Linked DNA regions of Mus musculus: region 1 is reported to be linked to region 2. Evidence: microRNA targets listed by miRTarBase, many of them from high-throughput screens and not tested one by one. Region 2 holds a microRNA gene; the other region holds the end of a gene's coding sequence.
What was found. Region 2 holds the annotated microRNA mmu-miR-5110 (GGAGGAGGUAGAGGGUGGUGGAAUU, at 2,177-2,201, opposite strand). A microRNA usually pairs through its seed, bases 2 to 8, with sites in the 3' UTR of a target mRNA and lowers its output. Matches are read on the target gene's strand: a 7mer-m8 pairs with bases 2 to 8, a 7mer-A1 pairs with bases 2 to 7 and ends in A, and an 8mer does both.

Region 1: miRTarBase lists Mnat1 as a target of mmu-miR-5110. Seed matches in the 3' UTR shown: 7mer-m8 at 2,337-2,343 and 7mer-m8 at 2,340-2,346.

Annotation. Positions count from the first base shown.
Region 1 is chr12:73,270,542-73,277,423 of GRCm38, forward strand. Mnat1 (menage a trois 1) reads left to right here. Exons shown (of 8, transcript NM_008612.2): 8 at 1,873-3,447. The coding sequence ends at 1,993. It also overlaps a transcript of Trmt5 not described here. Among named protein-coding and RNA genes, the nearest start is that of Trmt5, 13 kb to the right of the region's middle.
Region 2 is chr11:85,758,499-85,765,380 of GRCm38, forward strand. It overlaps Mir5110 (microRNA 5110), which reads right to left and starts at 2,204; the gene lies at 2,118-2,204. The region is part of intron 22 of Bcas3 (breast carcinoma amplified sequence 3); the gene reads left to right.

The sequences.
Region 1 (6,882 bases), not on the chromosome of region 2:
CCCTTTTTTTGGGGGGGGGACAGGGTCTGTGTAGCACTGGCTGTCCTGGACACACTCTGTAGACCAGGCTGGCCTCAAACTCAGAGATCTGCTTGCCTCTGCCTCTTGAGTGCTGAGATTAAAGGCAAGCATTACCATACCCTGCCCTAACCAGCAGAATCCTAACAGCTGGCATTTTATTGTGCTCTGGGAGAGTAATAAGAAAATAACATTGTAGTTATGTGTAGATTCAGTCCATTCCTGTCCAGCTCCTGTGAGACTTAAGGCTCTACCTGGAGCTCATCAGCGACACCTAACAGTTTCTGAAGTCGGATGCATCCTCAGAGGCGGGTAGCATGGCATGATTCATGCTTCATTTTATCTCTTCAGGTTTTCATTTCTATACATTTCATATGATCCTGTAGTATGATATAGAGTATCCATTACTAATATTTGTTATAATTTATAAATAAGCTTTGAGGGTAGATGTACAAATAACTTGTATGCTATAAATATACTACCCAAATAGTTTTAAATTTTTGCTCAATAAACATTTATTTCTTTCTCCTTTGACTTTTACCCCTTGGCAGAAAAGCAAAGATTTGAGTTAAGACCATGATTTGTGGCAGTGTGAATAAATTATAGCCAATTCCAGGAGTTTGACCTGTCTCATTTTGACAGCGTCTTCTATTTGGTCCCTTAAGTTGCCATACATGTCTTAATCATACAAGCTTATTAAAACATATGCACAAACAAAAAACTGACTTGTTATTATGTTAGAAATAGGAAGTTGCTCATGCATTAAGATCTTGACACACAGGAAGTTTGAATGAATAAGTAGAAAAGGTTCCAAGCTATTAAAATGTCCTGCTTCCTGATTTATTCATTTATCGTACCTGTAATTCTGAAAGTGGGCGAAGGAGCTTTGTTTCCAGGGCCCGTGTGGCTTCCTGCAGAGGCATTAAAGCAAGGCTGGAATTATTCTTTCCTGCAGTGCAGCTGTCTGGCTGACAAGTCAGTCCTCGGCTGAGATCCTCTGAGTTTTTAGGCCTGTTGTATCTATTTTTATGAAGGCATTAATTTTTCATTGGTAAAAAAGCTGAGACTGAAGAAACATTGTTGTTCTGCCTTTTGAGATGGGTTTGTCCTTCTGTACTTAGGACTCTATGACTCTTCAGGTCATTGTTCTCAGCTTAGGCTCTGTCCCACACTTCTTAGACGTGTACTTTCTAAGGTTCCTGTCCTTGCAAGGACAGAGACAGTATGCTTCTGGGATACCGAGGTGACTGTGAACTACTGTGTGCTCTCTTCCTGAGTGTGCTTGTTTTCCGTATGTAAGGTTTTGCTTTAAAATGCTTTTGTAAAGCCGGGCAGTGGGGCAGTGGTGGTGCACACCTTTAATCCCAGCACTTGGGAGGCAGAGACAGGTGGATTTCTGAGTTCCAGGCCAGCCTGGTCTACAGAGTGAGTTCCAGGACAGCCAGGGCTACACAGAGAAACCTTGTCTGGAAAAACCGAAACAAAACAAAACAAAACAACAACAAAAAAAGCTTTCGTAGAAATGTTAGTAGCATAATAGTGTGCGTGCTGGAAAGGACAGTATTCGCTGGATGTCTAAATAGCTTCCAAAAAAACGAATCAGTACTGGAAATGGTGAAAGAGTGGATATTTTAACATTTCATCCAAATGTACAGGTTATAAGGACTATTCTTAGAATTCATTGTCCTTTGTAACTTAGTAGTAGTTGGGCAATCCATATATATGTGTGTGTGAACCTGAACATTTCAATCTTGGAATTCCTTTCCAAATGTAGAATCAGTTTTACACTTGCTTTGCAGAATGTCACTGGCTTACGGTCTTCAAATCAATGGTGTACTTTTTGTTTTCTTTCAGGTATTTAAACCACGTCCGGGCTGCATCTCCACAGGATCTTGCTGGCGGCTATACTTCTTCTCTTGCTTGTCACAGAGCGCTACAGGATGCGTTCAGTGGGCTCTTCTGGCAGCCCAGATAACCTGTATTTTCTCATGTATAAGATCTGGATTGTGGAGCCAAACCAAGGGGTTTGAAAGTATAGAGGTTTGTAAAGTTCCAGCCCCGCAGCTGCACAGCACACCACCACTGCTGCTGTGCTCAGGTGTTTATTGCAGTCTGGACCAAGCTGAGAAATGTGTTGCATATAGATTCATGGAAGAGGTTTATTTTTTACTTCTGTTCTTTAGACAGGGATGAAGAACATTAAACCTCATCTGACAGAAAAGAAATAAATGATTTGCCTATGTTTGGAGTTGACTTACACATTTTATAAAAAATAAAGCCTGACTTTATGGTACATTTTTGTGGGATTTTTTTTTCTTCCTCCTCCTCCTTGTGTTTTTCTGGAACATATTTCCAAATGCCTTTTTGATTATAACATTCAGTGCTATTATCCAAGTCTATATTTTCCCTATAAAAACTTCTTTTTCCCCTTAATGTCGTATTGATAGTGGTACAGACAAGTGGAGATGTTTCATCTTAGCAGCAGGCCGTGTCAAGAAAGCACAACTGTGATGTGGCTCTTCCTCAGCAGTAAGAGTCTGGGGGACTGTTTTGAGCCATGCAAAGTGAGGCAAACCTAATGTGGTTCCCAGCTGTGAGCCACAGAAATGATAAACCAGAGCAGGCCATTAACCTGCTTTAATGGCAGATTCAAAGATGTGAGCTAATAAAACTTAATACATCAATGGCACCTTTCACTGCTAATGTGAGCTCATTTTATGATGAGATGTTGAGACTGGAAAAGGTACCATGTAAGTGAAATTTCTCTGCATAAATTATAGACTGATGTAGTTTTCCACCCACCAAAGCTTCAAGGGATTTTACTGTGCTTGTGGTTTTGTGTAGTTTGGGTGTGTGTTGGTCAGAAGCATGAGCATCCCAGCCTGTGTGAGTCTGTCGCATGGGCCCCTGGGTATGGAACATAGGCTTTTCCAGGAAATTAAAGGATATTCTATCAAATTTCTGTCACAACAAATGCTAACTTTATGGACATAAGAGTTAAATGAATCAAATCTCTGGTTATGTTAGTGTTAATAGTCATATGTAACAATACCATCTTTATTGGGTGGGGATCCATTTCAGTGCATCTTGTGGGACCAACCTTCCTTGCTAGAAGTCACACTTCTCATCTTTGATAAATGAGAAAACCAAGAAGTTGAATATGCCAAGAATATATATGTAAATTAGTAAAAAGCTAGAATTAGGTCAAGTTACTTCTTAATCTAAATCCACTATGGAGTGAGCATGTAGTATTCCTTATGTTAGTTAGGTTTTTGCTAATTGGTAGTTCACCCTTCTGTATTCAATCTGTAAATCTGATGAAGAAGTGATGAAAATGAGCCCACGGCTAGGGCTTTGCTGCACTCGTGGACAGAAATCAATATACCTACAATTCATGAACTAATTAATAAAACTCAAGCTTTGTTTTGCATCTGACTTAGAAATCTTTACCTACTCTGTTGGATTAAATGAAATGGAGAAAGAGCATGTCACTGAAAAATGGCCATATTCTAAACTAAATCCTGTACTTCTTTCTCACCCTCCCAGTGATGTCCTCCTAGAGACAGTGTGCAAGTCTTTCCTCTACATAAGTATCTCCTCTAGCACTAGTACAGAAATAGCCGTTGTATGGCTTTTGTGCCAGGCACTGGGCTTCATGCTTCCTGTGTTTTCTAATCCTTACAAACAATCCCGTTCCCGTCTCCCGTGTTCTTGCAGATAGAGGTGTCCAGTAACCTGCCAGGAGCAGAGAGTTATTGCATTTTAAGTACAATAACTTAAAAGCCTTAGAGCCAGGAGTTAAACTCCAGTGCCAAGGCTCCAGCAGCCATGCTCCAGAGGTGACTTGGTAATCCCATTTCAAAAAGACCTCAAGGAAGTTTTACAGAGCAAGGGTCTAACCCTGTGGGATATAAATGATGGTCAATAGATGATCTCATTGATACCCTAAGAGTTCTATAGTTCATTACATAGAAGATGACTTGCTTTAAGCAAATAATAATAGTCTGGAATACACATACATCACAAAATGCACGAGTGGTGGCCTTGGCTCATGACTCAAGAAGAGTCTCAGAATTTAAACACTGTATATCAATGCACATCCCAGCTCACATTTTCTACTGGATTCATCAAAAATCCATGTTCTAGGAATCTTCAGTTAAGGTTAGGGTGGCCCTACACTTAAGTCATCAGTTCTCTACTCAAACTCTACATGAAAGAGGAGGGAGCCCCGCAGCATTTAGAAAGGCATGTAAGTATTCACTTATAATCCTACTGTTTATGTATTAGAGGATGACTACATGGAGACAGTTCTTACAGCCTTATTTAGAGTAGATAACTACATCATTTGTGCCTCATAGCCAGTATCAGTGTACATTACTTGGGTTGTTTCAAAACGACTTGTGTATAAATGCTTTTAGATAGAAAAGCTGGGCTGTAGCTCACTACATCCCTGGGCTGTTGCTGTCCTCCCTGCATTTTCACTCACCACCTCCCTGTGCTTCTCACCACTACCACTGCCGGCTTCGCTAGTTTACATTTCCCTGCCAAGCCTCTGAAGCTGGCAGTCAGTGTTCTAGATCAGAGGTCACTTAGTAGATAGTTTAGGCCATTCAGGCCAAGTGACAAACTTAAGAGCATGATGGGATACTTACATCATGAGATTAAGCAACTTGCTGTAATTTTATTGATAAAAGTCAAGATGTAATAAGCACAATTTTTATGGTAATATCTTTAATTTGAATTCTGATTATTTAATAGTCAAATTCTACCAAATATTGGTCTCAGTCCATAAACATATGATATCAAATATGATGGTTAGTTTTCATTTTTATCAACTTGACAACCTAGAAGCATATCACGTAGGAAGAATGTCTGTCTGTTGAGTTGGCCTGTGGGCGTGTCTATGGGGGGAAGGAAGTCCCAGGCTGCTGTGGGCAGCACCATTGCCAACTAGAGGTCCTGAGCTAAGTGGCAATCAGGGTGAATGTGAGCAAGTATACATATGCATTCATTCCTTTCTGCTCAGATAGAGGATGTTCTTGCCCTGACTTCTTCACAGTGATGGACTATGGTCTCAAAGTATTAGCTGAAATAAACCCCTTTTTCCCTTAAGTTGCTCTCTGCCACAGCAACGGAAGTGAAACTAGAACATTACCCAAGCATATCCATAACTTGGAAGACACTTTTGAGAGATTCATAGAACACATTTTGATCATATTTTCCTCATTATTCTTCCCAGACCCACCCCTCCCTTCTCACCCCTCCCAAGTTTGCATCTTTTGGCCATATATTCCTGGGGGTGGGATCATCCACTGGAGCATGGTTGACATTCCAGGGGCTCATCCTTTAAAAGCTACCCCTCCCTGTCTTAGGATGTTTACCAGCTTTATTTTGTACAAGCAGCCACACATGCCATGAGTTTATGAGTGCAGTGGTCCTGTCATTTTCAGAGCACTTTCGGGAACTCTAGTCCCTTCTGATCTCTGGCTCTTAAAATCTTCTTGCTCCCTCTTCTGTGATGGTTCCTGAGCCTTGTAGGGGTGGTAGTGGTGGTGATGATACTGATGTCTCTTTATGGTTGAGCAGTGAAGGTGAGGTTCTGCCTTAGTCACCATCCATTACACAAAGAAACTTTTGTGCTGATATCTGAGAGCTGTAGGTATAGAGATGGGAATTTAGAGACGCTTGATGTCTGTTTAACAGAATAATAATAGGTTTACCCTTGATACCTGTGAGTTCCCTAACTGTGGTTCTTAGCCAGATATATAGTGCCAGGCAAGCCTTTTCCTCCTGTGGAGCAGGCCTTACTTAACCCCAGTCAGAAAGTTGTTGGTTACGCCCATTAACATTCATGCTACCATCACCCTTTGAGCTTATCTTACGAACCTGCTCATTATTGTTCACTTCTAAGTAAAACTGTTGACACCTCTCCTGCACCGACAGCAGCCTACACCACATCATCTGGTGCTATGAACGCTAGTCAGCAGGGAGGAAGCTTCCTGCTATCAGATAGATTTCTCCATGTCTTAGGACAAAATTAGGTGGTATCTCTAGCAATAGGGTCTTATTAAGTTCTGGTCAGCAGCGGCAAAAGCCTCTATTTTGGGGGAGTCTATAGCACACTCTGATCAATAACTTGAGGGGAGGTGTCCCACACACCTGGTACTGTGATTTTTATTAGGCAATCTTGGCTTCTGGGAGAAGTAGGAAGGCATTTTTGAGAGGATTATTTTCCTCATATTTGCACATGAATTTTATAAGTTGAAGTGCCTTAACTTCACTAAATAGTTTGGTGAGGAAGCATTTCCTTGGCACTTGTACCAATACCCCAAATATGGAACTTTGAAAAGACAGCTACTGCTAATTTCTGGGAGGATAGAAACATTTTCTTTTTTTTTTTTTCAAAATTTTTTTTTATTATTTAAATGCATTTTATATATCAAACATTAATGAGTATTTGGAGAATCAAATAATACTTAAAAATTTTGTTCAAATTTTGTATTCATATCCCTTCATACCCTAAAAATATCATTAATGAATATTTAATAGTATGCATAACTGAGGATCCTATATCTAATGTTGAATACTAAATTGTTTTCAAACATAATAAATATTCTTTGGGAATTAAGCATAATAAAAGCATAAAATATTAAAAATGAATCACTAACAAATATATTCAAAAGCCCTTATGATACCACTTGACATACTGAGAAAGTACTTAAAACACATTATATATCTATGTTCATTGTCTAATTATAAGTTTACTTTTAAAAGATTATCAGTGTTTCTAGGAGAGAAATTATTTTATAAGTATATTTTAAAAATTTCAAAATAGTAAAAACTCTTTGAAGTTAAGCATTAAGA
Region 2 (6,882 bases):
GCAATAAGATGAGTCCCAGATCTGCACATTGCAGAGATCCTCTTTGGACAGATAAATCCTCCCAGGAATAGGAGAATGGTGGTGTCCACACAGACTGGCCAGGAAGCTAGTGGGCCGCCGCTCTCCTCTCCCAACAGGCAGATCTGTGTAGTTTACATCTGTGCCTAAGTGGCTGGAGTGGTTGGTGCACTGCAGAGCGACACTGACCTTGCTCATGCTTTGGGGGGTAATTGGACTTTCAGGATGAACTCTGAATAATCTGCCACTGTAATTGACACAAACCGGCTTTTCTTTCGCAGCAGACATTCATGCCTTCTTGCTCCAACTGTTTTTTCTTGAACAAACATGTGTATTGTAGCCAATGCAAGGAAAATCCCACTCACCAGTTTGATCTGAGTTGCTGCTGTCCAAGAACAATGGCCCAGTGTGTCGGCAGCCTTCGAGAATCCGGGTTCCGTGCCCGAGTCTGGTTGTGTGAGTCTCTTTGGAAGACCCTAAGGCCAGGAAGCCATTGGTCTAATGAAGACGCTCCTGCCACCCTGTGTAATATCAGTCCATGATCAGCCTTTTCCACTGCCAGCATAGGCTCTAGCCACAGCCGCAGAGTCAACACTGACATGGGCAGATAACACTACCGTCAAGGGGCTCTCTGAAGCTTGACGTAACAGTATGGGCCTGTAATCCCAGGTACTCAGGAGACTGAGGCAGGAAGTTTGCAAGTTGGAATTTGTAGCCTGGGCTACCAAGCAAGCTCAAGGCCAACTGAGCAACTTTGTAAGATCTTGTCTCAAAATAAAATAATAAATAATTGGGGCCAGGGGATGTACTCAGTGGTAGAAAGCTGGTTTAACATAGAAGTCCTTGGGCTCTGTTCTTAACACACACACACACACAAAAAAAAAAAAAAAAGGAAAGAAAGAAAGAAAGAGGAGGAGGAAAGGAGGAAGAAAGAAATTTAACTATCTTTTCTTTCATGTGCTGGCCCTTCTGTAACTTCCATAGTCACAGGAAGGACTTCCTTCTTCACTGAGAACCCACCACTTGGGGAAAAGAAATGGATTTCCCTAAGATGCTGGACACTTGGCGTCTCTGGTCTTGTTGATCTCACTGGTTCAGCAGCTAAGGAAGCCATCAACGTTAGACTGCACAGTGTTGAACTAAGCAGTCCTTGGGCTCACAGTGGTTATTGTGTGGTAGAAAGGGAAAGGCTGTTATTTTGCTAGAAGAAACTGGGGTTGGAAAAAAAACTCTACAGCACCTTCTGAAGGCGAGGCAGCTGGCAAAGGGTGGAGTGGCTTAAACACCCAGCCTCGAAGACTTACTGTCCTCCCAGCCTGTGCCAGACCGTCTTCCTATAGGAAGCTTAATCTGTGGTTCAACTTAAAATCTGAGGAAACATCTGGAATATTAGTTTTCAACCACATTTCAGACACAGAAAGTGGAGCCTAAGGAATAGCCCAGTTGGCTCCTCTCTGGGAGTGGGTAAGAGTAGAAAAGAATTGCTGATCTCAAGCATTTTGTTACCAGAATAACCCCACAGGAGAGGCCGGGCTGAACTGGGATTTGTGTGGGCCAGACAGTGTGGGGGATTTATTTCCGAGGCTGGAGGACAGCTCTTGGATTCCAGTGCCTCTCACTCAGCATCCTCCCTGGAGGCCTGCTTGCTGGAGAGGCCTTGCATCGGGGTGATGACTTCCTGGGAAGCACCTCAGAGCTGAGGCGGTTAACGAGAAAACAAGCAGCGGCCTCTGGCTACAAACCTCAGGGTTTGGGTTCTGGGGCCCAGGATAAAAATACACAGCTGGGAAGGCAAGCTCCCAATTAAGTGGAAGAGTTCAGGCAAGAGAGGTTCCAAGGCTGGGCAGCCTGCAACCGCACGCAGCCCTCTGTCTCCTTGAGCTGCCCCCGTCTCCCTGCTCCGGGCCAGCCCCAGAATCCTGTGGGGAAGTCAGCTGGCAGCATAAAGCCTGTCCCCCTTTTCCATTCAAAGAAAAGCTTGCTTGCCTTCAGCCTGCTGATTTATCTCTCTTGGCATCTCAGAATAGGAGAATATCAAAACTCAAAGGCTCCTTAAGAATCCAGCTCCTCACACTTTGATTTTGTGGAAACTGAGGCCCACTCAGGGCAAGTGGCTAGAACAACGTAGCCCTGTCCAGTAGTGGCAGAGATGACATCAAATTCCACCACCCTCTACCTCCTCCGCTTTTGTACTAAGCCTGTACCAGTTGGCACCTTGCCAGTCACCCCTGTTTCCTCTGACACCCCTCACCCCCACCTCAGGCAGAAGAATTCTCCTCAGCCTTCTTCTGAAAGAAAAGAAGCTAAGGCTGGGAGGGGAAGCAGGGCCCACAGCATTGCCGAGAGCACATGCCAGGCAGGCAGCCACAGAATCCCCATGAGTAGGCTGGGCCTCCACCGTCCGACCACACTCCCTCTCTAAGAACATGTGGGAGGACCCAGTTTGGCCGCCTCTGAGCCATGGGGCCTGCAGCAGCCATCCTAATAGCTCTATGGCTCCTGGGTTCCTCCTGCCCTTCTACCACTGCCTAGGACATTCACACAGCTACAGTGGCTTTGAGCCTTGCCAAGAGAAGCCCAATAGTTACTTTCAGACTCCAGTTCCTGCCAAGCCTGAAATAGTAATTGCCTGAAGGGTTCCAAAAAGCTGGGTTTTATCTGCAGCAGAGACTTAGCAAATCAAAACACAGGTCTTATCTCTGTAGTCTTTTCTCTGTTGTGTGGTCTTCTAAATGAAAAATGTTACCTAATTGCCTGAAACAGCTGGCCTGATGTTTAATTGCTTCAGCTTGCTAACCTGATATTCAGGACCAATAAATTATAGACAGGGAGGAGATAATCCTCTTCACACACCATCTCCATCTGGGTTCCCTTTAGGAGACATTACTGATTTGAGCCACTATGGGGGGAGGGGATTCCAGATGCAAACACTGTCAGAAGCCACCACATCTGTCTGCTGCTGTTGGACCTCAGCCTCCTTCTGTGAGGACATGCGTTTAATCCTCTCTCAAGCATCCCCGTGCTGCCCTCTGCGCTCCTGCCCACCTGCTTGGCACACACTCTGTGTCACAGACTCACCTGCCCCAACTATGCAGCCTCTGTTCTCACCTCAGTTAGTGGGCTTCCCAGAGAGCAAAGAAGCCCCTGGGAAAGGTGGCCCAGCGCCTCCTGGGATCCTGTGCAGCCTCCACCCTCACGTCGAGGATTCTGCAGCTTCCATTCTCCGCCCTCCCTGACATGGAGCCTGTGTTCTTACCACGACCCTGCTTGGTACCCCGTGCCTTTGCTCACACCAGTTCCTAGGATGTCCCTTGTTGTGCCCTAGACCTCACCTTCTCTTCCATTGCCAGATGCCACTCACTTCTCCTTCATGTGTCACCCTAAGTGCCACCACTTTGGTGCCACCTTCTTAGTCACGGCGGGTCCCGTGTCTCTTCTTCTCTGAGTACTTCAAGGCTAGGGTTTTTCCTTTTATATTTGCTATCCTCTGCTCCCTAGAATAATGTCTGATTTAAAGCCCCACAGCTCCTTGCCCCAGTGGGAGGTACACTTTGACAAGGATCTCAGCTGCCATTCTTAGAGCTGCAGAGGCCATGATCACAAGGCTGCTCTTAGAGCTGTACTTCATTGGTTTCTGAGATGGAAGGAAGAGATGAATAGAAGAGGCTGCAGTTCCTTCTCTACCCAGCATCTATCTGCTAAACTGCATGTAAGGCACTACGCGCTAGGCTAGGCTCCTCTGGTAACGTTCAACAGTTCTGCTATTTAAGATTAGTACATTAACAGTTTCAACTTAAATTATGTTTCACCATTTTCCCTATAAGGAATTTTCTCATGTGTTCAATAGCAAGAAGCTCACTCCAACCACTGCTGGCCCTTTTATGAAACTGCTATCACATGATACAAAATCCCTTTTTCCACACAAGACTCTGATAATGCTGGTGTCATTTGGGAACCTCTTCCGCAGTCCCGAGGTGAATATCGCATCGTACTTCTTTTCACTGCTTTGCGTTCTTAAAAACTCTGAGCTCCCTTCTCTTATTCTGAGGCTAAAATTGAAGCAGTTCTTCTGCACAAGCCTACCAAGGTTTCAGAATTACAGGAGTGCCTTACCACACTCCACTAGTTTGGTTTTGACACAGAGCTACATATAGACCAGGCTGGCTTCCAGCTTTTAGCAATTCTCCTGCCTCAACCTTCTGAGTACTAGGGTTATAGACATATGTACCACTATACTTTGGAGAATTCCAAGTATCTAAAGACTACTGTCTTATCTCTGAGTCTAATTTATTTTTTTTTTTAAAAAAAATGGGCATTCAAGTGCATGCCTGCAGTCAGGCACTAGGAGACTGAGGTAAGAGGACTGTCATGAGCTCAAGGCTAGCCTGGGATTCAACATAAGATCCCGTCTCAAAAGAAAATGACCTGTTTTACATAGGGTGTACCAGGACAGCCAGTGTACATAAAAAGACCCTATCTAGATAGATGAAAGGGTGGGTAGGTGGGTGGATGGATGGATGGGTGGGTGGATGGATGGGTGGGAGGGTGGACATATTCAGGAAAAATGCATCTATATAGAAGTTTTAAAGACTTTACTTGTAAGAATTATTTCCTAAGTAATACAGCTTAACAACTGTTTACATGCCATTCATGTTGTATCAGGTATTAGAGGCCATGGAGATGTGTGAGTTGCAGGAGCGTATGCATAGGCTACATGCACATACTATACTGTGTTATACAAGGGTCTTGCACAGCACTCATTTTGGTATCTTCAGTGGGGCCTGGATCCAATACCTTGCAGAACACAGGGGCGACTGTACGTCAGTATTGCATTCAGTTTCCCTGTCCTGTCTCCCCACTCCTACCCCTATATTTGATTAATTGGTGCATGTCATTGCTAGGCTTTTATGAGAAAGGCTCTGATCCCTGCCTTCCTGCCATCCTTGGCCTTTCTAGAAGCCCACCCAGGAAGCGCCATCTCTCCCCTCCTCCCCCCACCTTGTCCACGGCAGCCACACTCTCCCCTAGATGGCAGGCATAGACATTCATCCGTGTCCTGTGGCATTAGTAAGGGGTACACAGCTTAAGAGCACATTGAACCACAGACTGTGGGACAGTTCCCATCTCCTGACCCCATGGTAAGGACCAGTTCGGGCTTCTGAGAACTCCTGCTCTGGGGCCATATGCTATTTCCAGCCGAAGATGTCCACCTGCAGCTTTCTGCTCGTCTCAGCATTTTCATCCCCATTATTAGAGTCCAGCTGCAGTGTCTTTGAAGTTGTTTCCATGATGTTAAATGTTAACCATCATTCCCTTGGCCCATGCTGGAGAGTGCATTCCTTGCTGTTGGCATGATAATCACCACAGCTATATTGGCTGTGTTCTAGCTGACCACCTCAGCACAGAAAGAGCTTTGTACCAGACATCCTGAAACCTGGGTCTTGACCTGCTTGTACTGGGAAGCCATGTGACCTTGTGCATGTCTTTTCTCTCCTCTGGTCCTCATTGTCCTGCACTGTGAAGCATAGGGCTCACAGAGCTCTGAAACTGTTGCATATGTAAGCTGTGGTCCCAAGAGTTAGAGGACACACATTTATTCGTCTCCTTAAGCCCCAGTAGCTCAAGGGGATCTGGGCATGAAAGCAGTGCACTGAGAATCAGCTCCTGGGATAGAGTGCTATTCTAGCATGAACAGAGCCTGGTGTGTGATCCCTAACATGTAAAAACCATCCTGGCACTTAACTGTAGTGCCAGCGCTTGGGTGGCAGAGTGGAAAGGACCAGAACTTCAAAGTTATTCTGACTACATAGCCGGTTTAAGGTCATCCTGGGCTACAGGAGACTTTGGAGAGACAGGTAGAAATAAGGACCTGCTAAACATTTGAACTTGTAACCCTCGTCTTCTAGTTCTTTACAATGGGCTCGGCATTGGTGCTCTGGCACCCTGCATCAAACTTACTATACTAAGGTGACCTTGGGGCTCACATCTACAGTCTGGCTTGATAACTTACAATTCTGCTGTATTAGTAAGAAGAATAATCCTATCTATTCATTCTGCTGTCAGAATGTTGATGCTAGGTTCCCATACTGTCTCTGTCACTAAAGATTGTAATTAAATAATATGTCAAGTATATTGATCATATCCTTATACATTCGCTTGATATGCTGCAGTGGCCTTCTGTTGTTACACTGTATCACAAGATTAAAATCAAAAGTTTGCCAAGCCATCTAAGTTCATTTAAGAGATTTTTTTTTTTCCTGAATAAACCACACTTTTTTTTGATGGTTTGTCATTTTGACATTGACTAAAGTAATTTCTTTTTCCTCCCTAGTACAATACAGTATTTAGCCTTTGCTCAGACTAAGTAGCTGTAATGACATTAGAGGGAGGCATGGGATGACTCTCTGAAGGCAGATATAAAAGTTCCTTTTCTATGCAAAACCTCACAGTTTTTCAGAGAGCAGTCAGGGTTCTTTTTCATGTACATTTATTATACAAATTTTCTGGTGGGTTTTGAGTGTGGGACCTTCACTGTCAAGCTCTGTCTTTCTTCTTTGTAGGATAAACTATTCCTAGAGAGGTGTGTTGTGAACCAGAAAGATTTGGGTTCCCTGACTCATCCCCTAGGTTCCTAGCAGGGAATGCTGCTGAAGGAATATATTTAACGATAAATTTTCCAGCCAGTTTCTCTTCAGTTTTCTCAAGTCACAAAACATTTACTGACTTTAATGACAAGACCCAGAGGGTGCAATTAGACTTTTTGAGTATTTGTTTTGGATGTTTCTTATGTTTTCTTAATTGGCAAGAGGGTTTCCTCGGCTGCCTGAAACACATGTTATCAGCTCTTCAGCCACAATAACCATA